Linked DNA regions of Rattus norvegicus. The protein of the gene in region 6 interacts with the protein of the main gene of each other region in a pairwise test. Links are inferred from orthologs where the notes say so. Each region holds a gene or a part of one and is shown on either strand. Other genes may lie near its edges. The genes, in order: Nsg1, Gpatch4, Cdc73, Jagn1, Stx5, Kash5 and Slc41a2.

What was found.
Region 1: the proteins of Kash5 (region 6) and Nsg1 interact in binary tests that used the Homo sapiens proteins (3 or more experiments, as listed by UniProt). The two-hybrid records come from large-scale screens. The link is inferred for Rattus norvegicus from reciprocal best matches to the Homo sapiens genes KASH5 and NSG1.
Region 2: the proteins of Kash5 (region 6) and Gpatch4 interact in binary tests that used the Homo sapiens proteins (3 or more experiments, as listed by UniProt). The two-hybrid records come from large-scale screens. The link is inferred for Rattus norvegicus from reciprocal best matches to the Homo sapiens genes KASH5 and GPATCH4.
Region 3: the proteins of Kash5 (region 6) and Cdc73 interact in binary tests that used the Homo sapiens proteins (3 or more experiments, as listed by UniProt). The two-hybrid records come from large-scale screens. The link is inferred for Rattus norvegicus from reciprocal best matches to the Homo sapiens genes KASH5 and CDC73.
Region 4: the proteins of Kash5 (region 6) and Jagn1 interact in binary tests that used the Homo sapiens proteins (3 or more experiments, as listed by UniProt). The two-hybrid records come from large-scale screens. The link is inferred for Rattus norvegicus from reciprocal best matches to the Homo sapiens genes KASH5 and JAGN1.
Region 5: the proteins of Kash5 (region 6) and Stx5 interact in binary tests that used the Homo sapiens proteins (3 or more experiments, as listed by UniProt). The two-hybrid records come from large-scale screens. The link is inferred for Rattus norvegicus from reciprocal best matches to the Homo sapiens genes KASH5 and STX5.
Region 7: the proteins of Kash5 (region 6) and Slc41a2 interact in binary tests that used the Homo sapiens proteins (3 or more experiments, as listed by UniProt). The two-hybrid records come from large-scale screens. The link is inferred for Rattus norvegicus from reciprocal best matches to the Homo sapiens genes KASH5 and SLC41A2.

What each region holds. Positions count from the first base shown.
Region 1 is NC_086032.1:76,874,579-76,878,078, reverse strand, and holds part of Nsg1 (neuronal vesicle trafficking-associated protein 1), read right to left. Parts: exon of another isoform or gene 2,436-3,500; coding exon 2,325-2,435; intron 1-2,324.
Region 2 is NC_086020.1:175,810,762-175,813,904, forward strand, and holds part of Gpatch4 (G patch domain-containing protein 4), read left to right. Parts: intron 1-857; 5' UTR 858-912; coding exon 913-991; intron 992-1,366; coding exon 1,367-1,440; intron 1,441-1,533; coding exon 1,534-1,626; intron 1,627-1,720; coding exon 1,721-1,807; intron 1,808-3,143.
Region 3 is NC_086031.1:57,993,532-57,997,031, forward strand, and holds part of Cdc73 (parafibromin), read right to left. Parts: intron 3,365-3,500; coding exon 3,259-3,364; intron 1-3,258.
Region 4 is NC_086022.1:148,145,932-148,150,038, forward strand, and holds the start of Jagn1 (protein jagunal homolog 1), read left to right. Parts: upstream 1-1,307; 5' UTR 1,308-1,402; coding exon 1,403-1,491; coding exon of another isoform or gene 1,492-1,498; intron 1,499-1,902; exon of another isoform or gene 1,903-2,082; intron 2,083-4,107. UniProt on the Homo sapiens protein: Endoplasmic reticulum transmembrane protein involved in vesicle-mediated transport, which is required for neutrophil function.
Region 5 is NC_086019.1:215,079,859-215,083,185, reverse strand, and holds the end of Stx5 (syntaxin-5), read right to left. Parts: intron 1,235-3,327; coding exon 1,075-1,234; 3' UTR 501-1,074; downstream 1-500. UniProt on the Homo sapiens protein: Mediates endoplasmic reticulum to Golgi transport.
Region 6 is NC_086019.1:104,824,921-104,829,209, forward strand, and holds the start of Kash5 (protein KASH5), read right to left. Parts: upstream 2,801-4,289; 5' UTR 2,684-2,800; coding exon 2,662-2,683; intron 2,601-2,661; exon of another isoform or gene 2,462-2,600; intron 1-2,461. UniProt on the Homo sapiens protein: As a component of the LINC (LInker of Nucleoskeleton and Cytoskeleton) complex, involved in the connection between the nuclear lamina and the cytoskeleton.
Region 7 is NC_086025.1:22,270,038-22,274,112, reverse strand, and holds the start of Slc41a2 (solute carrier family 41 member 2), read right to left. Parts: upstream 2,801-4,075; 5' UTR 2,656-2,800; intron 2,397-2,655; exon of another isoform or gene 2,129-2,396; intron 1-2,128. UniProt on the Homo sapiens protein: Acts as a plasma-membrane magnesium transporter. Can also mediate the transport of other divalent metal cations in an order of Ba(2+) > Ni(2+) > Co(2+) > Fe(2+) > Mn(2+).

The DNA.
Region 1 (3,500 bases), on a different chromosome or scaffold from region 6:
TCTCAGTGCTAGGACGGACACACACACACACACATACACACACACACACACACACACACACACACACACACACACACACACACACACACACACACAACCCTGGTTCTGTCTGCCTTTTAACTGACTCTGCATACTTCTCAGCTTGGGCCATTTGGCTGCTTGGTAGAACTCAGGCTTCTGGGGTTCCCTTTCCACCCAAGCAGATTCCCAGGGCTCAGCTGATACACTTACAGAGGCCCCTAGATAATAAATGCATGCTGAAGAGTGGAAGGAACTTAAGGACATGCCCTTGGGCATGACAAAGTGCCTCTGAACCCTGTTTCTCATTGGTAAAAGGGAAGAGGCACTCCCTTAGGATCTCCAGGTGGCCAGCCAGGGCAGTGTGGCTCACAGATCTCGGGACCAGTCCTCCACCCCTGGAGGTTGATGTGGAACGTACCATGTGCCTGAATACAGAGGAGGAGGAAAGCCTCCCCCACCCACCTAGCTGTGTCATCCAGACAACCACCACCATCACTTGCCACCATTAAAACACTGTTGGAAACTGTACAAGCCCACAGCGATGCACTTCCAGAAGTTCCTAGGGAGTTCTGGATTCCCAAGGAAGTGCAGACCTGCCTTTCATCCGTGTAGATCCCCAGCCTCCTCCCACACCGCCAGGGATCTGATCCAAAGTCAGCCTGGGCCCTGGCCTCCCATCTTCTTCATCATCCCTCTTCTGCACCACCTTCTCCCACAGAACTTGGGTTTGCTGAGTGGAACCACCAGTTTTGGCTTCTCACTGCACTGGGCAAGGAGCCTGCCCCAGACCAGAGAAAATGGGCCAGGCAGAAAACCCAGGACAGCATTGTGGTTGGTGGAGTGCTGGCCCATCATCTGTGACAGTGGCTACAGGAAGGAGCTGTCTCCTACCTATCCTGTTTCCCACAGAGGTGCCACATGCCCCCTATGATGTCAGCCTGAGTCACCCAGCTTCAGGCCAGGTGGTCCTGGTCAGTCCCTCCTGGCCTCCCTAATTCAGTCTTCCTGTCTATCCACTGTCACACTGGTCTGCCTCTCCGTCCCCATTGCGTCAGCCATCCAGACCCTCTCTCCCCTGCCTGACTGCAACAGCCTCTTCTGTCAGCATACTGTCTGCCCCTCTCAATGTCCAGGTGACCTAAGGGATCATCCTCATCACCCTTTTGGGGAGCCTTTGCTAGGAACCCAGGGTGCTGAGCAGTGTACAACCTCGATGTACTTTGGCCACTCTCCCAAATGCCACCAAGCACGCCCCAATCTACCTTCTACTCTCTTCATCTCCTACTTTGCCCTATGTTCCAGAAGCTGTCCCAGGATGGACCACCTTCTAGAAAGGACAGACTCAAGTCCTCACTCAGTATATACATGCCTGCCCTCCTGCCTGTCTCATGTTTCTTGAACCAGAAGGAGTCGGGAAGGTGGGGTCTTTGCTCCTGGGTGTGGCTTAGCACCCTGAGCAACCAGAGTTCTAGAATCCTACAATCGCTACAGGAGGAAGGAAGGGCTGCAAGGCAGGAGCCATGTTAGGACCTTGCAGTGTGTAAGAGGTAGAGGAGGTCCTGTCTGTGGTTCTGTCTACAAGAACTTTCAGGTCTTCTAACTGGCTCTGCCAGGGCATCTCAGCAAAGCCCAGACACATCCATCCAGCAAGGACCCACAAGCGGTACAGGCAGCACCCACTCAGTGCCCGCTCTGTTCACACTTGAGCAGCTCCAAAGCCCGCACAGGGCCATTTCCCATCAGCTCTGGAAAGTTCAGAAGCAGAGCGAGTGAGGCATAGAAGCCTCTCTGCTCTGCTCCATCTCCTACCTCCGCCCTATCTTCCCTCCCTCCAGTTTTGCTTCCTTAGTCCTCTGTGTAAATGCATCTGCACCCACAGTAGGCTCATGGGAAGGAGGCATAGAAGCAGAGAGAACATTTCCATGTGTGCAGGTGCCAACATGGCCTCTGCACAGGAACCCACAGGAGAACCCAAGAGCAACCTGTAGGCAGGGGTCCCTTGGTGTGGCTTGGGGCAGGGCTTTCCTCTTGGTCATTGCACCCCACTCCCGCCAGATACCCGATGGAAGTGTCAGCCTGGCACTTTCTGCCGCAGGGGGCGGGGCGAGCTCTTCCCCAGGGACAAGCCAGTTTCCTCCCAGTGACCCCACTGTGCTTTCTGCCTCCTTGCCTAGCTGCCCAGGCAGGGTCTTCAGCGAGGACCCTCCCATTGAAAGTGCACAGCCTGCTGCTATACGGCCCTAGGATTAGGGAGGAAAGAGGTTCACATCCTGGGGGTCGGGCAATGGGAAACAAGACCTTACCTTCAAGACAAACCCATCAGGGCACGCACGGTCATACTTGTACACTTTGTAGACAACCAGGAAGACGACACAGGTGAGGAAGGCCAGGGCAAAGAGGACCAGCACGGAGACCTGTGGGAAGAGGCAGAGAACGCCCTGGGACTGGGAAGACAGCTGACTGGCAGGGACAAGCAGTCATTCACACGGAAGTTATGTGCGCCTGCGCAAAGAGCTTGGGGAAAATCACCTTGGAGTGGCCATTTTGTATGGCTCTGACTTTTCAACACATCCACAGGTCACCATGTGTTTCAAGCATTTCAGGCTACAAGGAAAGCTCTGTGCACAGACTCGGGAAAGCCTTGGCATTGGCCACATGACTCCCAGACGACTTGGGCCCTTGACAGAGAAGTGGGGCCTGTAGCAGGATCTCAACCCAGGCCACCTCACCCGGAAACACTGCCTGGCAGGAATCCACCCTGCCAGGGAGCCAGCTGCCTGCCTCTCACTAGCTGTCCCTGCCCACAGGGCTGAGTCCGGGAGGTGCTACACACCTGTAACCCGGGCACTTCGGGAGGATCAGAAGTTCAAGGTCATCCCCAAATACATAGCAAATTCAAGGCCAGACTGAGCTAATTGAGATCCTGCCGTAAAATAAAATAAAATAAAATAAAATAAAATAAAATAAAATAAAATAAAATAAAATAAAGTAAAATAGCAGGGCTGGCAAGATGGCTCCATCGGTAAAGGCATTTGCCACCAAGGCTGATGCCCTTAGTTCAATCCCAGAGACCCAGTAGGAGAAAACTGACTCTGAAAGCACTCCCATCTCTTTGTCTCTCTATCTCTCTGTCTCTCTCTGTCTCTGTCTCACACACACAGAGGAAATTAATATTGTATTTTTTGTTTTTAATACTCCATTAATGTTTTTTAATATTAAAAAATCATAAAGCAAGGGGAAAATGGTTGTCAGCCTTACAGGTATCTGGAAAGTGACAGAGTACTAGGAAACATGCTCCCAACCCCACAGTGAAATACACAGTGTGTCCAGCACAAGTGTCTGGGGTTGGGGCCCCATTTGGAAATGAGCTTTTGCACATGGGTTGTGTTCAGATGAGGTCATTAGCTTGTCAAGTCTGGTCAGTGTCCTTACAAGAAAAGGAACTGAGGCAGAGACACACACTGGAGGGAACATCATGT
Region 2 (3,143 bases), on a different chromosome or scaffold from region 6:
CTTTGTCACCAGAGTAGGGTGAGTGCAAGATCGAGTTTTCACGTTATATACTGAAGTCACACATATAGGTATCAGTATCCACATTACCCTTCCTTTGTCCTGTGTTGTGTTGGGTGTTGGCTCCTTTGACCAGAGAGAGGACGCCCCAAAGAACAGCCTTCCTCCTGGTATCTCCCAGGACTCAAGAAAAAGAATTCAGTAGCTGAAGAGATGGTTCAGTGGTTAGTAGCACTTACTGCCTTTGCAGAGGCCCTGGATTCAGTTACTAGCACCTGTGTAGCATCTCACAACTGTAACTCCAGTTCCCGCGTGTGTGCAGTGCATACACACACATTTGGGCATACATATACACTTATTCTTCTGAAAGAAGACTCTTACACAAGCAGCTTTAAGTGCTTTAAGCATAGACAGGTCTCACGTATCCCAAGCTCCTAGTCAACCTTTAACTGAGCCTTCTGCTGCCACTTCCCCAGAGCTGGAATTACAGGGATGCACTACCACACCTGCTTACACAGTGCCGGGGATTGAACCCAGGACCCACACACGCTAGGCAAGCACTCTACCTAAGTAGAGTATCTAAGGTATACTAAGATACAGCCCCAGCCCACACTACTTCCCTTTCCTTTTCACTCATTTATGGTCTCATAAAGCAGGGGCTGGCTTCAACCTTTCTACATAGTTATAGACGATACGAACTTCTGATCCTCTTGCCTCCATATCCCAACTGCAGGGATTAACATGTGTGGGCCAGCATGCCTTGTTTTACATGATGCAGGGGTTGAAGCCTGGGGCTTTGTGTGCTAGACTAGCGCCCTGCTGTCTAAGCTGCACCTCCAGTCCTTTCTTTCCCTCTTCAGAGTATGGTGCCACTTTTTCCCTGCTGAGAACCTGAGGACAGAGCCTCTCCCTGCCATGAGTGTCACCCCAGAGGTGAAGAGTCGTGGGATGAAGTTTGCTGAAGAGCAGCTGCTGAAGCATGGGTGGACTCAAGGTGCTCTAGGGTCTCTTCCACATCCACCCAACTCCTCTCCTCTGCCCCGGGTCCCTTCAGCCAGAGGAGAGACTAGTAAAGAGAAGTCTTTAGAAGCATAAGTTTTCTGACCCATTAGATTAGGGAAGATGGGAGAAATCCTCATTTTGGATAACAAGGGACAATGAGGAGCAAATGGTTGGGCAGACTAGAGGAGACTGCAAAGAGACAGAAAAGATAGTTCTGGCTCAGACAGAGGCACTGAGCAGGGCTTGAAGGAATGGAGTGAGGTGGGTTTCTGAAGGCATAGAGTATACCCCATGATCAGTATAAGGAGTGGTAGTTAGCCTGGGAAGGCTCACGGCAGGCCTCAAAATAAATCACTCTCCTCTGCAGGCAAAGGCCTGGGCCGGAAAGAGAATGGCATCACCCAGGCCCTCAAGGTGACACTGAAGCAAGATACCCATGGGGTAAGACTGGGAAGTGGTCAGAATGAATGGGAAAGGGCACCCATGAGGGCCAGTGGGCAGTGCTCAGATTGACTTCTACTTATTCATCTGGAGGTGGGACATGACCCTGCCAAGGAATTTACAGACCACTGGTGGAGTGATCTCTTCAACAAGACTGCCGCCAACTTGGTAGTGGACTCTGGCAAGGTATGAGCTTGTCAGGTATATTGAAGAAACCCGCAGGCCTGGGGTCGGGTAGGACAGCACAGCATGCCACTTTCTCACCAATATTTTCCAACAGGATGGAGTGCAGATAAGGCGCCTTTCCAAGGAGACCACCCAGCGCAGTCACTCAAAGCCCAGCTTGCTGTATCAGAAGTTTGTGAAGGTACTAGAGTGAGAGGTCCAGCTCTCAACTGCTCCCATCTCCCCTGGGTCCTGAGCAGTTGTCTTGTGTGTCCAACTAATTCTCAGGATATCCCAGTACATGCAGATCCTGTGTCCAACCTTGTTGTGCCCATGCCTCACCTGGAACTGAAGTGTTACGGTTCCATGGCCCATCCCATCTGCTGGGGAAGCAGCAGTGCACAGTGGGAGGGAGGGCTGTCGTTTAGTTAGGAGCTGCTGGGATGGGGCATGTTGGTGTATAATTTTAAAGAGTCTGAAGCCAGGAGGGTTCTGTGAGGTTGCCTGGTTCATTCTTCATATATGTGACCCAAAGAGTAAAGAGCCCCCAGCTGACTAGTATAGGCAAAAAGAAGAGAAGCCAGCAGTAAATGAGCAGAGATTCTGTGCTCAGGGCTTCCCAAGTCATCTAGAAATCCTTCTCAGTTTCTACATCTTGACATCTACTCAGTTCGGGCAGTCCTTGCCCCTTTAAGAGCCTCTGCCTCTGTTCTCACTCTCCACCACAGTCAGCTAACCTACAAAGCATCCATAAGGGTCTCTCTGAAACACAAACTGTATTATGTAGTAAGGATTTTGGTCTCTTTGAAAAACAAATATTATGGAACTACGTTTTTACTTTAATCTCAGATGTGGGATATGGGGGGCTGCTTCAGATTGCAGTCAGCAGCTGACTATGATTTGCCTCATGCTCTAGCAGGGGTGTGGTTTTGCCAGCAGCAAGTAGTTTCTGGAATTCTGGGGATTTTTCAGAGTGTATATAAATGCTAGGCCCAAGAGGAAGGGTGTTGTGGGTTATTAGTTGTGGTTTGTTAAGAAATTAGATATCCTGTCAGTGAAGATCAAACTTACCTCAAGGAATTCCATGCCCTAATCAGTAAGAGGTAGACTAACAATAACTTTGCCTCCTTTTCTTCCTATCCTTTGCCCCCCTTCCCTAGTGTTGGGGGGTTGAAAGGATGGAAAAAGGATGGAGAAGAGTGGAGGAAATTACCCACAAAGTAGCAAAAGACAGCTACCATATCATAATCCTTTTTGTTAGTTTTTGTTTTTCCACACAGATTCTGTGTAGACCAGACTGGCCTCGAACTCAGATCTGCCTGCTTCTGCCTCAGAAGTGCTGGGATTAAAGTCGTGCAACACCACCGTCCAGCTCTATCCTTTTTAATGAGACTGTCTTCTATGGCCCTTTATGTTTCAGGTCTCACTCACTTCTTTCTGGGTACACACTAGCCAGCAGGTCTTTTTTTCCCCTTTAAGAAGATGTGTTTTCCTCTGTCAGTTGTTCTTGCTTTACCTGCTAAACATTACTTGCTTTC
Region 3 (3,500 bases), on a different chromosome or scaffold from region 6:
GGCCTTGTGCTTCAATGTTGTCTCATTTTATACAGTATCTGCAGTGCTTTTCTCCACCCAGACCAAACCTCTTCAAACTATTCAACTGAAATCCTTCCAAATAAATTACATAAACCACTAAATATATATTTTGATAATTGATAAGAATGAGAAAAATAGACTATAAAAATGTTGACTGTAGTGATTAACCCTCTACACTTCTTTTTATCCTAGACTGTATATAAATTCAAATAGAGAGAAAAAAGATTTTAAAGTTCTTGTGTGAACACATTATCAATTTAGAAAAATGAAGTTTTTCTTTAATCCACCTACAATCATTACTTGTAAACATATGGTTGGAATTGGGGCTGGGAGATGGCCCAGCAATCAGAGCCCTTCTGCTCTTTAAGAGGACCACAGTTTGCGTCCTAGCATTCCCAGTTACAGGTAGCTCACAACCACCTCTAACTCCAGTTCAGGGAAGGAGTTAAATGCCTCTGGCCTTCTCTGGTACCTGCAGTCGTGTGTACTTAAGAGACACATGTAGACATTAAAGTTAAAAACAAAAAACAAACAAACAAAAAACCAGCAATTCTTTTCAAGATTAAAACAAATAAATAAAATGTATACTGCAGGTATCGAGTCATCTTTGGGACAACGACTTTTGCCATTACCACAATTTTTCTTATCATTTTTCTAATGTAAACAAGAGAGTGCAAGAAAAACTGGTTTCTAAGGGATTGCATAGATTAAAACCTTTGTTGAGTATTATGAACAACAATGAAGTGATGAGAACCCTTAGTATCACTAGCCAATTGCATCACAATGACCACTGAGTCACTACACCCATTATTTGCACATACTTTTTTCTGACTTAGCTGAACAAGTAAATCGCTTATTTTTCTTCAGCTATACATGGAAAATCTAAAATTTATATAAGGAATATAAATATAAATATATATTTGTACACAAGTTTAAAACCTACAAGTATTTCTTTCCTTGTCATTTTTAACCAGTGTATCTGGAACATTACACATATCTGAATTAATGTCTTTTTGGTTTTGTTCTGGTTTTTCCAGACGGGTTTTCTCTGTGTAGACCCAGTTGTCCTGGAACTCACTCTAGAGACAAGACAGGCCTTGATCTCAGAAAGATCCCCCTGCCTCTCCCTCCCAAGTACGGAGATTAAAGTATGTACTATCACCACCCAGCCTGAATTGATATTCTTTAAATTACTATCTCAAAGCTTACTCATGTATTTCAGAACCATCTAAGTATTGTTTATGTCCACATTATGACCCACCTGAGAAGCTGCAGGTCTACTGACTCTACAAAGCCCCAGAGATCAGAGCACCTATTCCAGGAAGAGTCAGCACACAGCACAGAGCAAGGAACATGGCAACTTAAAAAGCAACCTCTAATCTGTAAAGCTGCAGAATTTTAGATCTCTGTACCATTTCATTTGGAGAAATTTTAAGTAAAGCAAGGGTTATATCTTATATGACTATAAATGTAAGTCCTAGAGTCCACAATAACTGTTACTATAAGTTATGAACTATAGCCACTCGAAGAATAGTCTTGCGGAGCAGTGGTAGCACTCAGGAGACAGAGGCAGGAGAATCTCTTAAGTTCCAGGACAGCCAGGTCTACAGAATGAATTTCCGATGAGCCAGGGCTAAACAGAAAAACTACGTCTCAAAAAACAAAACTATGTATGTATACATACATATATATGTATATATAAATATACATACATGAATATATAGATATATGAAATGTTTATAGCTCTAAGTACGTAAATTACTTAACAAACAATTCTAATTATTGCTTAATTAGGATTTTAAAGATCTAATAAATAATGTAATGGTCAATTATTAATTTTCCCTACTACTTACCAACTTTAAGATTTTTAAACATATATTTAACACTGAATATATGTTTCTTACTCAGAAAAACAGTCCTACTGAAGCAGAATAAATGAGGTACTTTCACAACTGGTCCAAATAACAAGTTACTTTTCAAAAGCCTCAACTATCTCTACTTAGAAGGAAAGGTTGTAAGAGTAAATTTCACACAACATAATGCAATCCAGCAGTAGTGTTAAGCTGCCAAAAAATATCTCTAGTGATGGAAGTCACAATGAAGATTTTATGGGTTTGTTTTGAGAATATTCAGAAATGAAAGAACTACTTTCAAATTAAGACAATGCAGTAAAGTTAAAACAGCTTTTAGAGTAGATATTTGATTATATCAGTATCTCCAAAGTAATTCTATGTCTGATCCATCAAGAAATCTGATGGAGGACCACTTTTAATAAAAGTTAAAGGGCTGCAGCGTCTCTCAGAAGAAGAGTACTTGCCTAGCAAGCATGAAAGCCTGGGCTCAGTGCCCAATACCACATTAACAGGACATGACTGCAGACACATCTGATCCCAGTACTAGAGGGTAGAGGCAAGAGAAGCACAAGCTCAGGTCATCCTCAATTAGACAGGTGCTAGAGGCCAGCCTGGGCTACATGAGACTTGTGTCCTCCCAATACCCAGAGAAATATCTGGAGAACCATCATAATTTGCACATGTATGCCAAGCTGCAACGTCAAACTCAAATAATTCAGAATCCTACTTAACAGTCCCTTGCCAGCAGAAGAACCTCATCATAACAATCTTTGTGAAATGAAATATTTTTAATTATTCCTAATAATTTCCTCTCAACAATGAATTTTCAAACACTGACAAAGCAGATAAAACTAAAAAACAATACATTTGTCAATAAAGTACCAAAAGAACTGTTCTGGTTAAAATTCTAAAGAAGTATCTGCTTACGTTGGGTTTATTGAGATTTTCATACTTTAGTACTAAATTTATATCATTCTTATGCCTTCTCCTATAATATGTTTATACTAAGAAAAGTTTTCTTGAAATTAAACTATAGTTCTGAATTATCAGAGTTCTTCTACTTATATTTTTTGAAACATCTATGTAGTCACTTTTAAAAGTTCTGTTATGGGGTTGGGGATTAGGCTCAGTGGTAGAGCACTTGCCTAGGAAGTGCAAGGTCCTGGGTTCGATCCCCAGCCCCGAAAAAAAGAAAGAAAAAAAAAAAAAGTTCTGTTATAAATGTTACCTATATTTTACATGAATGAACTGCCAACTAAAAAATCTGAATAAATCACGTAGCAGTTTAATTTTCACTCTCCATGACAATTTCAGACATTTGAAACCCATGAGTGAAGTTATCTATAACTATTTGATCAATAGTTTTAAAATGACTCCTACTTACAGCTGCACGTCGGACATAAACAGGATGCGAAAGGTGCACATTATTAAGGAGAAATAGGATAGAATCCAATGTGTAGTATTCTCTGGGTTGGCCTTCCTTTCCGGTCCTAAAATTAAGGCATGACTTTTATTAAGATTAAGATAAATATTTGAGCTCAGTTACATGCATTCATTTATCTATATCTAGTTGGTTATCTAACAGTGTATTTAACCTAGCAAAAACATACATGCAGTATAAACTTT
Region 4 (4,107 bases), on a different chromosome or scaffold from region 6:
CTTTCCTGGCTTCCTCTGGCACCAGACACGCATTTGGTGCTCAGAAACAAACACATCGGGCATGAAGAATACTCTGTGAGTTCAAGACTGGCTGGCCCACATAGTGAATTCCAGGACATAGTGAGGTCCTCTCTCAATAAAACAAACAATCTGGGTGGGTTCTTTGCAAGAACAGCAGGTGCTCTTAACACTGAGCCATCTCTCTCCAGCTATTTATTTGTTTGTTTGTTTATTTCATTTATTGACAATGTTCAATTCATTCATTCCTTCCTTCCTTCATTCATTCATTCATTGACAACGTTCAACATAGGCAAGGCTGGCCTCCAACTTCCTATGTAACCGAGGAGGAACTCCTCCTCTTCCTTCCTCCACCTTTCAAGTTGGGGAGATTATAAATGTTCACCGCCATCTTTGTTCCAGTTAGCTTAAGGCCCCAGGGTCTCAAACTGTGGATAACAGTGCAGGGAGGAAGAGATGCCTCTTTACTGCCTCAGCCTCTGAATGTTGCCTCTCAACATTGACCGCCCTGTACTTTTAGGTATATAACGTCTTTGCTCCGGATCCTAACCCGAAGGTTGTGTGCAGCTTCAGGAAGTGTTAAGTGTGCAACAAGTCACTGAGCAATTGGTCAAAGATGCCAAGTCGAGCTAGGCATGGCTTAATACTATAATCATGCCTTGGGAGATTGAAGCAAAAAGACTGTCAAGAGTTCGAAGCCAGCATGCGGCACATGAAACCCTGTCTCAAAGGAAAAAAAAAAAAAAACAAAAAAACAAAAAACTTAGGGTCTGGGCCAGCAGTTAAGAGCCTAATAGGGGTTGGGGATTTAGCTCAGTGGTAGAGCGCTTGCCTAGCAAGCGCAAGGCCCTGGGTTCTGTCCCCAGCTTCGAAAAAAAGAAAAAAAAAAGCCTAATAGATCTAGGTTCAAATCCCAGCACTCACATTATAGCTAACAAGACTATCCTACGTCCTCTTCCAGTCTCTGCGGGCACAAAAAAAAACACACGTGGTGCACCGACAAAACACCCATACACAAGTAATTTTTGAAATGCTTTATAATGAAGTTAAAGGGGGTTTGCTTGGGGGCATGGCTGATCGGCATTAGCGGCAAGGGGTTCGATTCCGCACGATGGCATCTCGGGTAGACCCGCGAGATATTTCTAGGGACTAAGTTAATTCTGCACTCGCTCTACTCTGGGAGATGCAAGAACATCCGAAAGACCAAGAACGCATGCGCGAAGAAACCACAGAGTCAGTCCTCCAGGGCTAGAGAGACCGGAAGTGCTCCCAGAGCTGCAGGCCGTGTGGTGGAAGCGGAGAGGAGGAGGCAGGAAAGCGGTTCTCTGGGAGCCTGGCTAGGTGTGAGCCAGAGGGTCGGCGTTAGGGCCTTAGGTTCTTCACGATGGCGTCTCGGGCAGGCCCACGAGCGGCCGGCACCGACGGCAGCGACTTTCAGCACCGGGAACGAGTCGCCATGCACTACCAAATGAGGTACGAGGTGAGACAGCCGTACCGAGGCCTTTCCCGGCGGAGCCTGCAGGTTCTGGGAAGCAACATCAGTGGTCCTCAAGCTGTCGCACTCCAGCCAGTTGTCGTGCACCCGTCAGGTCCCTGCTCTAGCGAACTCTGTTTTATTTCCAGGCTGGGAAAGCCCGGTTGGCCCGCCTTGGTTCGCCTTGTGTTTTGAGGGGATCCAGCTTGCACAGGCACATGGTTCCGTGTTGGACCCTCTCGGTGACCTTGGGGGACACCACTTTGCTTTTTCAAGTCGAAAAAAAGGTTCCACAGTAGAGTTCAGGCTGGCCTCGAACTCACATCCTTCCCCTTAGCCTCCTGAGTGCTGCTGGGTTTTCAGGAATGAACTTGGCCAGAAAACTACCTAACTTTTTTTTTTTTTTAAAGATTTATTTCATGTATGTGAGTACCCTGTCGCTGTCTTCAGACACACCAGAGGAGGACATCGGGTCCCCATTATAGATGGTTGTGAGCCACCATGTGATTGCTGGGAATTGAACTCAGGACCTTTGGAAGGGCAGTCAGTGATCTTAACCGCTGAGCCACCTCTCCAGTCCACTACTTAAGGTTTTTAAAGAAGATTCTTATTTTTAATTTCGTGTGTGTGTGTGTGTGTGTGTGTGTGTGTGTGTGTGTGTGTGTATGTGTGTATGTGTGTATGTGTGTATGTGTGTATGTGTATGTATGTATTTGTGCATATGAGAGCAACTGCTCGAAGAACCCAGTAGAGGGTGTTGGAACTGGAGTTACAATTACACATGGAGTTTTGAGCCCACCCGAGGTTGATGTTGAGAACCAAACACAGAAGGATGGCAAGCCATCTTTCTAACTACAGATCAGAAGTGATTTTGTAAACTAGAGTCTTGGTATGTAGTCCAGATCCCCCTCCATGGAGACCCCCTCTCTCCTGCAGGCTATTTCTTTTTTTTTTTTTTTTTTTTTTTTTTTTTTGGTTCTTTTTTTCGGAGCTGGGGACCGAACCCAGGGCCTTGCGCTTCCTTGGTAAGTGCTCTACCACTGAGCTAAATCCCCAGCCCCCAGCAGGCTATTTCTAATTGGACTCTCCATTTTAACATCTTCAGAGGGAGAAAAAAAAAATCTCATATCTTTTAGGTTTTGGTGTGTAAAGGCCCAGCATGGGAACTAACACATGGTAGCTGCTAAACTTGGGGCTGTTTGGGTGAGTGTGGATGGTAAAAGGTGGCCCTGTCCAACCTGAGTTTTAGGAATATGTCCATATAAGGGGATTTTTTACATCCTTTTATTTGTTTGATAAGTCCTTACTGGCTATCCATCATCATGTATTGTGTTAGACACTGAGGCTGTGCCAGTTTTCAAAACTAGACCTTGTTATTTGGTTTTATGTTATACTTTTCAATAAAGGTTTTGTTTTTTAAAATCTTAAGCACTAGGAGAACCAGGAATGTTAATCACACACGTTGTCTCTTCAGAGGGAGAGAGGTATAACTTGTTTCCTTGTAACCTTTGCACTGTGTGGCTAAGACCATACCAGATACCATACTGTTATCAGGAGGTTATCAATCTGTAGACCCCTTTCTTTCTTTCCTTCCTTCCCTCCCTTCATCCCTCCCTCCCTCCTTCCCCTTCCCCATCCCCTCTGTCTCCAAAGTGATAGGATTAAAGGCAAGTGTCACCACCACCTGTAGACCCCATCTTTATGGAAGATGTCACAAATACTTTACAAAGTTTCAATGTAGTCATGTCTTAGGCTTATTGTGCACATAGGATTGAGTTAATTGTCTTGAGGCCAGCTCTGACAGTGTGTTCTGTGATCCAAGGTGGGAACGTGGGTTCGGCAATGAAATACAGCAGGCACACACTCCCATGCTTGGTATCTTTACATCTATACATACACATTCATACATTCGGTAGATGAAGCAAATCTCCAGCAACTCACCACAGCCTATACATCCTAGCAAAATCTTCCAAGCGGCACAAGAATCACAACGTGGTTACATTCTATTTTACTTTAAGTGAACAATTACAATAAGTATATGTTAAGTAAAGTTTCCCAAATATCTTCACGTGATCAAATGTTTTATGTATTATGGGTGAAAAAACCAAATTCTTCCTAAGAACCCACATATAGTAACTAAGAGTACTTGCTGTTCTGTCAGAGGACCTAAATTCAGTTCCTAGCACTCACATCAGAAGGCTTACAACCTTCTGTAACTCCAGTTCCAGGGCTTCTGATGCCTTCTTCTGACCTCTGACAGCATTGGTGCAGATGTGGTGCACACATACACATAAACTTTTTAAAGAGAAAAAGCCAAACTGGATCCTGCCTTGAAGGAGCTTGAATGACAGAGTAAATTTTTTTTTTTTTTTTTTTTTTGCCTTACCTCCCACATTTCCTAAGATGAATTAATTTTTTTCCTTAAATCCATTGAATCTTTCAGCTGGTTCTTTGCCTCTGTCTGTACAGAAGAATGACAAGCTCTTTGGACCCTTCTTTCTCAACTTTAGGCCCTTCCTATTGGGGAACTCCTAACCCAAGGTCTCGTTGTCACTGCATACCTAGCTAGAGGAGACACCTTGCTCTTGAGACTGAGGATACGAGTGAGACCTAGG
Region 5 (3,327 bases), about 110 Mb from region 6:
TGACTTTAACACAGATCAGAAAGACAAAACAACTCATTAATCTCCCTTGAGGGTCTGTGTTAGGTGGGTCACCTCCATTTTGCAGTGGTTTTGCTCAGGATCTTAGAAGGTGCCAAAGAGCTGGGTACAAATTGGAGCTGGGCACAAATGCTCTTCACCCAGCAGCAGAGCTCTTGCTTCACTCAGTTCAAAAATCAGGACCAGGTGATTTGAAGATACAGGTTAAACAGGCTCAAACTGTTTGGGACAGCCCTAGAAGTTGACACCCAATAATGAGTCCACTTAGCTCCAGTTCAAAGGAAAATTCTAATTTAGTGCTGTTGTTACTTGGCCACTCCCTTTTAAGAGGGAGTTGTGGGTACAGAGCTCCAAAGCTGCTCTGCCTATCAATGGGGGCTGTCAAAGCCACCAACTTAACCCTTTTGGTTCTGGTATTAAGCAGTGGTTTGCTGGCTGCGGAAGCCCACGACGATCCCACCCAGAAACGACAACATCACTAGTGAGGCTGACAGTCTTGCTGTAATTGGGAGGAAACAGGCTGCAGCATGTTTGGCAGATTGAGAGTCACCAGTAGCCAAAGTCAGGTTTGTGCAACTGTAGGGCTCAGAGCCCCCCCCACCTCACATGGTGAGGAGAAGGTGGCAGTCAAGTTCTAGATGACCCAGATGATTAAGTTGGTCCCTGGGATAGTTTTACTTCCTCACCTCACTCTCCAGAAGGCAAGGAAGGGCATTGTTTCCTCTTGCTGCCAGTTACCTTTAGGGGAGGCTGGTCTGGGTTTATAAAAATCTCATGGTAGAGACAACCTCCCCACTGGCCCTAGCTGGCTTCTGTTCCCTGCCACTTCACAGCAGAGGCCAAATCCAGAACCAGTGTGTTTCATGGGCCTGAGGGTAGGACAGAGTGGCCAGAGACAAGGGTGGGGAATCAGGGACACTGGCCATTCTTAGCAGTTCCAAGGAAATGGCCTTTCTCCCAACTACCCTGCACAGGCTCAGTGGCAATAGTGGCCACCTGTCCTTCCAGAAGGGTTCCAGGCCCTCCATGGAGTGGCTCAGAATGAGGGAGGAGGGTTCAGGCAAGGAAGACCACAAAGATGATGAAGAAGACAATGAGGATGAGGAAGATTTTGACCATGAGCCACCGATTGGAGGTGACTGACTGGAAGTACTTGAGGATCTCTGAATGGGCGGCCTCAACATCCAGCTGGGCTCCAAGCACATTCTCGTCAATCCTGGAAACAGGAGATAAAACAGAGAGGAACACTGGGTTGAAGAAGGTTAAAGACATCCATTTATTGATATGGGAAGCTGATCACAATATGTAGAAGTAAAAAGTATTTGATACTACGTTAACTGTGTGTGTGTGTGTGTGTGTATACACATACATACATACATACATACATACATACACACACACACACACACACACATATCAAGTTTTTTGAGGGTAGTAGATCATGTTTGATTCTAGCTTTAAAGTGTCCTGCCAGTTATTAGCTTATGATTGAATTATTTAACCAGTCTTATTTTCCACATCTAAAAAATGAGATAAATGATATAAACCCTACTCCTTTCATGAGATTTCTTATTTATCTGTTTTTTTTTTTTATTTAAAGACTTATTTATTTTATGTATGTGAGTACACTGTCACTGTCTTCAGCCACACCAGAAGAGGGTAGGAGATCCCATTACAGATGGTTGAGAGCCACCATGTGGTTGCTGGGAATTGAACTCAGGACCTCTGGAAGAGCAGTCAGTGCTCTTAATCACTGAGCCATCTCTCCAGCTCCTCATGAGGTTTTAATTTTCAGTGAGTTAAATGAGCCTCCAATCTATATGAGTACCCCAAATGCTGTAAGTTTTACTCATAAACATTTCCTGCTTTTTTTTTCCAATAATGAATATGTATTGCATTGTGATTAATGGGGAGAGAAGTTCAAACCATTATAGTCAGAAAATCCTTGTTGGGTGATGGGAACATCTTAATATAGACAGGAACTCAAAGAATAATACAACTCTTACATCCAGGGAACATTATCTTGGGGGAACAACTCCTCAGAGGAAGGACAATTTTGAAAACTCACTGAGGCAAACAAAACTTCCAGCCAATCTACATATACAACCCTTCTATTTTTGGTTGTGAGCCTAGCATTTAATGGCTGAGCCATCTCTCTAGCCCTACATATATAGTCCTAAAACCCAAATATTGTGGCTGGGTAGATAACTCAGTATTAAAGTGCTTACTTGGCAACCAAGAGGACCTGAATTTGGATTCTAGCACCCACAGAGCAAGCTGGCCACAGTCTTTTTTTTTTTTTTTTTTCTTTTTTCTTTTTTTTCGGGGCTGGGGATCGAACCCAGGACCTTGCACTTCCTAGGCAAGCGCTCTACCACTGAGCCAAATCCCCAACCCCGCTGGCCACAGTCTTAACTGTGCCCATAACCAGAGCACAGCAAGTAAGTGTAGAAAGAAAAGAGCTGGGTTTTGCTGGTTGAAAAAACAAACAAACTAACTAACCAACCAACCAAACCAACAAAAGCCAAGTTTTAGGCTAAGGGAGGCCCTATTTCAAGGAGAATAAAATAGTCAGACATGGTGGCATACATCTTTAATTCCAGCCCTTGGGAGGCAGAAGCAGGCTAATTTGAGTTTTGAGGCCAGTCCAGTCTCCAGAGTGAGTTCCAGGGCTACACATAGAAACCCTGTCTCAAAATTTTTTTTAAAATTAGATAAAAATAATTTAAAAAAAAAGGGGGGGGGGGTTGGGGATTTAGCTCAGTGGTAGAGCACTTGCCTAGCAAGCGCAAGGCCCTGGGTTCGGTCCCCAGCTCCGAAAAAAAGAAAAAAGAAAAAAGAAAAAAAGAAAAAAAATTATAAGAGGACATCTGATGCCTCCTCTGGTCTACACATGCTCATACAACATAACACACATGCCTTGAAAGTAATTTAAAACCCAAATACCATCCTATGTAACAAGATGTTTCAGACAAGGTAGTCTACACATAAAGCAGGACAGTCCACTAGGATTGTATTGCCTACTGACATAAAAGTCATTTGAGCTCACATAACTCTACTCTGTGAATGGTAAAGTCATCTAAGGACAAATTTCAGACCCAGCCCTATCAGTAAGTGAAGCATGATGCCATACATCTTGACTTTTAAAAATGGATCTGTGACACAGAGCCCTATAGGGGCTGAGTATGGCCTATGTGGGGCCTAGAAATAGAGAGGAAGGGCTGGACAAAGGGCTGCAAGATTAAGGTCCTGTGAAGACAAACATGAGGACTGAGTTCATCTCAGTGTCGTAAATTCAGAAGCCTGAAT
Region 6 (4,289 bases):
CGAAACTGGGCCATTTGCAAGAGTAGTAACCGTTTCAGTAGCTTCTTTTTCTTTTCTTTTCCAAACAGGGTCTCTCTGTATATCTCTGACTGGCCTGGGCCATGAATACCAGCCAGGCCTTGAACTCAGAGATCCATCAGCTTCAGAGTGCTGGGATTAAAGGCATCAAGCAGACAAACAGCAAGTTCTCTTAACCACTGATCCTTCTCTCTAGGTTCACTGCCTCTTTTTGTTGTTTTCCCCTCCACCAGCCATCTCCATGTCCCTTACCCTCCGTGGCCATAAGAATTCAGCATCATTCACAGGCTTGCTGCTCCCCGCCTTTTTAAAGATTATAGGAGAGTACACTGTTGCTGTCTTCAGACACACCAAAACAGGGCACCAGATCCCATTACAGATGGTTGTGAGCCACCATGTGGTTGCTGGGATTTGAACTCAGGACCCCTGGAAGAACAGTCAGTGCTCTTAACCACTGAGCCATCCCTCCAGCCCCTCCTAGATCTAGGACTTGACTTTCACAGGCCTCTATGATCACAAGGACTCCCTCCTCTGCACCCTGACAGTGCTGTCCTGCCTCTATTACAGCCTGGCCAGTCAAAATAAGTCACCTTCAAGAGAAAAGGAGGCACTATCAGTAATTCCTTTAGATGTTTGGCAACAGAGCCCCTAACACTCAGAGGGCACCGGGGGCCAAGGGTAGAGAGGGTTTGGGTTTCCTCCTGTTTGCCACCCCTTTGATTCGGCTGGAACCCCCTGCTCCTCCCCTGCTCAAGCCAAGAAACCTCCTTTGCTCTTCTGCCCACAAGGAGGAAACTCCGGGCTAACATGTTCTCACCTCTCCTCTCCATTTTCTAGCCACCCACCCATAAGTGCCCGCCCAGGGGCTCAGCCTTTGACCATGTAAGGACAGAATCCCAGCTCCTAGCTGGCAGGCTATCACTCCTCACCTAAGCTTTATAAAACTCCCTTGCTAAGCTTAGCTGGGATGTGGGACTTCACTGACCTCCACGTGTGAGACGGTGGAGGTGGATGCCTCCTAATGAACCTGCCCTTATCTATTTTTAATCTGGTCTAATCCAGTCTGTATCTGTGTCACTGAGGGGAGAGAAAAAGGTTATCACCCTTTCCTCAGGGAATGCAACCAACACTCTGCTTTGCCTGGATTCCAGCAGCTGCATGTGTTCTGGAGACATTATTTGACTTTTGGAGACAGGGACTTAATAAATATATATTATGTAGCTGTAGCTTTGTGGGCTGTGTAAACTAGGCCAGTCTTCAGCTAGTGGTGATCCTCCTGCTGCCGATCCCAGAGGCCAAAGGGAAGGGAGAGGTTTTCAGAGACTCAGGAAGAAGGCGGGAGGAAAGGAACAAGGGGAAAATTCTTAAGGAACAAGGGAGATCAGGTTGCTGGTGAGTGTCTTGAGGGATTTTAGACCTGGACGAAGTCGAGAGTGATCCCTGGACTAGAATTCAAGGGCTGCATTTCTGGGGTGTCACTGGATTTCAGGGTCCCCAGTGGAACTTGTACGGGAACTCAGGACAAATTTCTAGAATATCAGATAGTTCTTGTGCAGGTCTTTAAGGGAGACTCTGATGAGCTAAGATCCTAGCTGCTGGCGTGGTAGGCTAAGGCTGCAGGATCCAAGTTTCTGAGTAGAGTCTGGGCAATTTAATGAAGCTCTAGAAGAGTCCCTAGAGAGGTGGCTTAGTGGTTAAGAGGACTAACAGTTTACTCTTCCAGATAGATATGGGTTAGATCCTCACTACACACATGGCAGCTCCTAATCATTTGTAATTTTAGATCAAAGGGATACTGTACCCTCTTCTGGTCTGCACAGGCATACACCTGGCACACATACACGCATGCTGGCAAAATACTCATAAAAAAAAATAAAAACCCCAATACAAAAGCCAGGCGGTGGTGGTGGACATTTTTAATCCCAGCACTTGGGAGGAAGAAGCAGGCAGGCTAGCCTGGTCTACAGAGCTAGTTCTAGGACAATCAAGCTACACAAAAGAAACCCTATCTCAAAACAAAACACCTGCTCTGCTCACAAAAACAAAACAGCTTAAGTATTAGGTTTCAAAAGCTCTGGAAGATTGTAGTTGGGAATATCTGGGAGAGCTGTGATCCTAAAACTGAGGCATGAGGATCCTAAGGTCGTTGAAAACAAGCAACAGAAAGCAACAGGAAGTTTCAAGATTCTGACAGGATTTCCGAAGTTGCCACTAGGATTTTCCAGAGGGAACCTTTAATTCCTGTACTCGGGAGGTAGGGGCAGGCGGATCTCTGAGTTTAAGGCCAGGGCTACACAGAGAAACCCTGCCTCAAAACAAAACTTCCCAGAGGGTTACTTCATGAACATCGGAGATTTCGTCAGAACTTGGGTCCTTTTTAAAGGAGCTGGCAGGAGATGTTACCGGGTAACCTGCCATCAAAGTCGCCACAGGCAGGGCGTACCTGGAGTCGGGACTCTCGGGACTCAGTTGAGGGCCACCCTCGACGAACGGCGGTTGCGACTGGCACAGAAGAAGCGTGTTCACACGCGCCTTTCCCGCCAGAAATGCAAATGAGCCAGCCTCCTCCAAGTCCCGCCCTCTCAGGCTCTTGAATTCACGCAAGCGCACTCCGGGTTGATGGGAGCCTGCGGTTCCCCTTACCTTGAACCCCGAGCTCGCGCATGCGTAGAACTTCCCGGGACGACCGCTTAGATCAGAGAAATGAGCGCATGCGCACTAGTGGTGGTGGAATAGCGGTGATGGTGCGATATTATCGACAGTTTTCTTCTGTGGTACTAAATCCTTCCCTTCTGCTTCGCAAAATAGGGCCGAGCAGGGGAGAGTTCAACCGAAGGACACCCTGTTCACCCCTTGTCAGTCTTTGAACCGAGTCCTTTCAATCTTCTTTTGGGTCTGGCTCGCCTGCCACCGTCACAATGGGGCGCACCCTCACTTCCGCTCCATTGTTCCCCGCCCCCGCTCTGTGGCATTAATACATACCCAAACTGTTTCCCAAACAATTTATTTTACTTTCCTATTTATTGCCTAGTTATGTAGCCCAGGCTGGCCTCGGACTTGAAGCAATCACCCTGCCTTAGCCCATCACGCTGGGCTATTCAAACGTTTTCATTTACGAGGAAGGAGGGACAGGTTTTTTTGTTTTTTTTGTTTGTTTGTTTGTTTGTTTTTTGTTTTTTTTGTTTTTTTGTTTTTGTTTTTTTTTTTCTTTTTTGCTTTTTAACGTCAGTAGAGAGGGAGCTCTGTCTCCCAAGGATATTTGGAACAGAAGACTCCAATCTCTCATCCACTTGTCACTCCAGAAAACCGATCCTTTTGTTGCACTTTCCTCTTTGTCTGTGGGTCTGCTTTCCCTCGTAAAGATCCAACAACTAAAGTCTGAGTGCTGGTCCCAGGCTTCATCCCCGTATGCTGTCTGCAGAATGGGTACTAAAAGCATGGCCAGCTGCTTAGCATTTTTGTTTGTTTGTTTGTTTGTTTAGTGGTGTTCGGTGAGCACTCAGGAGGCAGGGCCAGGAAGATGGAGGAACATGAGACTAGCTAGCCTGGTCTATACAGTCCTAGACCGGCCAGCATTACAAAGTGAGTAAAGACATTTGTTACCCATCCCGGAATCCCCAGGACCCATAGGATGGAAGGAGGGCTCCTGAATTCCACATGCATACCCTATCATTTGTTCGCTTTCTTCCCCTTGCTGTTTAAAAACACATACATGTAATAAGGACCTGGACATGTAGCTCAGGGTACAGGGTTTCACCAAGGTGCCCTCATTCAACCCCTATGACCTCATGAATTGGGCATGGTGGTGTACCAATACTCAGGAGGTAGAGGCAAAAAGGGCAAGGTCTTTCTCACCTTACTGACCATGAGACCCCATCCGTGTGCTGCTTAGTTTGACCAAAGCCAGAGTCACCTGAAAACCTTAACTGAAAAAATGCTGTCATATTGCCCTGTAGGCAAATCTGTGGGGGATATTTTCTTGGTTGATGAGTGATGTGGGAGGAGGGCCCAGCCCACTGTGGGCAAGACCACCCTTGGGAAGGTGCTTCTGGGTTGTATGGGAAAAAGGAAACTGGGCTTCAGTTCCTGCTTCCAACACCTACCTTGGCTTTTCTTGGTGATGGACTGTGATCTATCGCAAGATGAAATAAACCCGATACTCCCCAAGTTGTTTTGATTGTAGTGCTCACCATGGCAGTAGAAAGCAAACTAGGACACCTGGTCTAGATGAAAGAACTGCCAAACGCTTTCAGGACAGTTGTGGTGCATTC
Region 7 (4,075 bases), on a different chromosome or scaffold from region 6:
TTTGTACATACACAGAAATCACCCATGTAGAAAGCATCTTGACAGGGGCTGGGGATTTAGCTCAGTGGTAGAGCACTTACCTAGGAAGCGCAAGGCCCTGGGTTCGGTCCCCAGCTCTGAAAAAAAGAACCAAAAAAAAAAAAAAAAAAAAAAGAAAGCACCTTGACATTCAGTCCCAGGTGACCCTTAATCTCAGCTCCAGTAAAATGTTTTTCACTTGGGGTGCCAGTACTTGGGAGGCAGAGGCAGGAGGATTGCTGCAAGCTCAAGGCCAGCCTGATCTAAATAGTGAGTTCCTGGCCAGCCGGGGCTACACACACACACACACACACACACACACACACACACACACACTCATGGGGGGAGGGGGAGGGGGAGGGGAGGGGAAAGGGAAGGGGGAGGGGGAGGGGGAAGAGTAAGGGGAGGGAGGGGAGGGGGAGGGGGGAGAGTAAGGGGAGGGAGGGGAGGGGGAGGGGAGGGGGAGGGGGAAGAGTAAGGGGAGGGAGGGGAGGGGGGAGAGAGGGAGAGACTGACTCTACCTCAAAAAGGCAAACACATTATCTACCATCCACATATATGATAATTGCAATAGAAACTACCCGGACTAAAAGAGGAAAAAACCTTCTTACTGGGAAACACATGGGATTCTGTTCTATGTAACCCAACACAGGTTATTTGTAGCTAACAATAAGTGAAACTTTTCAAACATAAACTCTACAAAAACACCAACTAAAGTCCCAGCAGGAACCCCAGGACCACACCTCCTGTGGCTTTTCTCAAGAAAGCCAAATAAATAGTAAAAATAATCACAACAAAATGCCAAAAATGACCAGGTAAAAGGGTAAAGCATTATTAAAGATTCAAATACCACTTAATTATATTTTTATGCAAATTTGCCAGTACCAGTAAGAAATCTAGAACTTTTCCTAAAACGAATAAGACAACTCAATAACAATAACAAAAAGTCAAATAAAACAGCAAAAAATAGGGTCCGAGGATCTAAACAGATATTTTCCCAAAACAGATACACGCATGGCCAATAAGCATAGAAAGGCTTTTTAATCTCTGGTCTGAAATGCAAAATAAAACCAGGAAAAGATATCAAGTCACACCCACTAGGATAGCTTTAAAAAAAAAAAACTAGTAGAAAATAACGTGTTAGCAGTTTAAGGAAGATGCAGACCGCATAAACTTTGGTGGAGTATTAAATGTAGCAACGACTTTGATTAAAGTCTAAAAGTTTCCCCAAAATGTTAAGCACCAAGCAACTCCACACCTATGTTCGGGGACTTTAAAACGCACATCTACAGACAGTCTAGCAGCATCATATCCAATGGCTGAAAAGTAAAAAGCTATGCAATTTCATTAATGGGTGAACGGGTGTGGTTGTGACACACCACATATCAGTCATTCAGCTCTAAGAAAGTACAGAACAGATGCACAATAATTACAACATGAATGAGCTTTAAAAACATTAAGCTACGTGAAGGAAGCCAGACAAAAAGCCACAGACACATTGGTGGGGTGTGGCACAAGTCTGTGTGAGATCACTACTTGGGAAGTTGAGGCAAGAGGACCGAAAATTCAGATTAGCCTGAACTATAAGGGGAGAGCCAAAGTCTTGTCTTTAAACGGAGGTGGGGAACCACAAATACTGTATGGTTTCATTAGTGTCTCCAAAGAGCAAATGCATAGGAACAGAAAAATTAGTGGTTTCCAGTGGGTTGGGGCAGTGGGGGGGGGGGGGGGAATGGGTAACAAGCAACTAAAAGGTATAGGGTTCCTTTGGAAATAAAAAAAAAATTACCTGAACAGTGGTGACAGTTACAAAACTAGATGGATACATGAAAAGCCACCTTTTAGAAGGAAAAGTAGCACGTATGCTACATGACGCTTCGGTCAACAAACGTCCATTTACAAAAAGATGACAGCCGGGCACTATACCTGAGAATGTAATATATAAGTAACGCACAAACATGCCAGCTTTCTCCATAAATGGGCACCGAGGCTTCTTAAATTTGAGGCATACTGTGCATCCATCCATAAAGCCATAAAGGGTGGCGACGCTGCTGAGCCCCAAAGCAGGGGTGAGCGCAACCCGGCTCGCAGCATCTGCATCCGAGCTCACCTTCCTCCATCCCTCGGCGCGCGCCCTGGGTCACCACCGCCAGAACCCGGCGCGGAGCCCGAGGCTAGCGGCAGGCAGGGCTGGATAGAGTCGGGCGGCCTCGGGTCCCGCCGGCCCAGGTTCCAGCGTCCGGCCGCAACGCCGCCCTCCCACACCCAGCCGAGCCGCAGCCTCCGCTCCCTCCGTAGCCGCCTACGCCGAGCCCAAGAGCGGCGACGCCCCCGGGGTCCGTGAGCCCGGCCCAGCCCCGCGGGCCCGCCGCGCCTCCTCGCCGCCTCTGACAGTCGCCCCACGCCCGCGGCCACTCGCGCGCCCCGCCCCGCCCCGCGCACGCGCGCAGCCGGCCCGGACCCGCCGGGCGCCGCTGATGTGGCCGCCCGGAGGCTACCCGGATCCGTGGCCGCGCCCCGGCAGCCGCCCGCTCGCCCGCTCGCCCTCCTGCCAGCTCTGACTCTGGCTGGCTGGTTAGCTCAGGCTGCCCCGCGCATCCTCCCAGCCGCATCCCAGCCCGCGCATCCTCCGCTCACCGCTCCGTCAGCCCCGGGCCTCGGCGGGGGTCCAACTCGCGTTCCTTGCGGACCGGAATGAAACCGAGGACGTGGGAGTCGTTCGTTGAGCGCTTCTGGGAGGCCAAAGGACGGGGAGGAGACGTGCGGGCAGCGCGTCACGCCCTCCTAGCGACTGGCAGGGTCAGAGCCAAGTGCACGACGCTGCCTAGCTGAGCTTTGCAGTTTGCCCACACTCGAGTTTGGGAGCCAAGGTAGACTTGAGCCAGAATTTGCCCAGGAAAACCGGGCAAATAGCTTCAATAACAATTTGTTAAGTACCTATTAAGTGCGGTTCAGCTAGTGGGACTCCACTCTCCCACTATGCAAAGGTGTGAGGTGCAAGGCACTGACTCCTGGGGAAAGCTGATCATTTTGATCCTGAAGCTATTTTAGGGGTCAGACCAAAGTTTTCACAGCGGTGATTTAGCACCTTTTCAGATGGGCAAAGGGAGGACACACACACACACACACACACACACACACACACACACACACACAGAGAGAGAGAGAGAGAGAGAGAGAGAGAGAGAGAGAGAGAGACTTCCATGGTGGCACCCACTTAGCAAGTTCCAGGAAAGCCAGATTTACATAGTGAGACCTTGTCTCAAAACAAACCAAAACCAAAACCAAAAACATTTTCTTGTGGGTTTTTCTTTTTCTAGAAGACGGTCTCTCTGTGCAGCCCAGATTGGCTTTTAAACTCCATTCTGTTTTTTGAGACTGTCACACTGTGTGCAGCTCTGGCTGGCCTGGAACTTGATATGAGGACCAAACTGCCCTTGAATTCACAGAGGTCTGCCTGCCTCAGCCTCTCAATGCTGGGATTGAAGGCGTGCAGCAATCTCCAATCTGCCCTCAAACTCTTACCCCTCCTGTTCTGGAATTACAGGTATGCACTGTTTCGCCCAGCCCTAGAACACATTTGGGGTGGCGTGTATAAGACTGGAGAGATGATTACTACTGCTCTTGCAATAGGACACAAATTTAGCTCCCAGCACCCACCTGAACACACGCACACGCACGCACTCACGCACGAAACGCCAGCTCAGCTGGACCCAATGTCTTCTTCTGGCTTCCACAGGCATTGATTGGCATTCAAGAGCACACACCCAATCCCTACACACACATATATGGTAATTTAACATCTTTACCTTTAGGAATGAGAGCTTTACTATGAAGAACACGGGTGCTGACTAAAAATTACAGGGAGTCACTATTTTGGTTTAGGATTCAAAATGGAGTCACTTACCACTAACCAACTGCTTCACCTTCCCAGAAACCTGTTTGAATTGCATGATGTTGAAGCTGCCTCTGCCTTAATCTTTACACAGGCAACCTGGTACTGAGTCTTCCATTGTTTCCCCGTCCCTATCTTACAAGGGAAGGAACTTTCCAACGC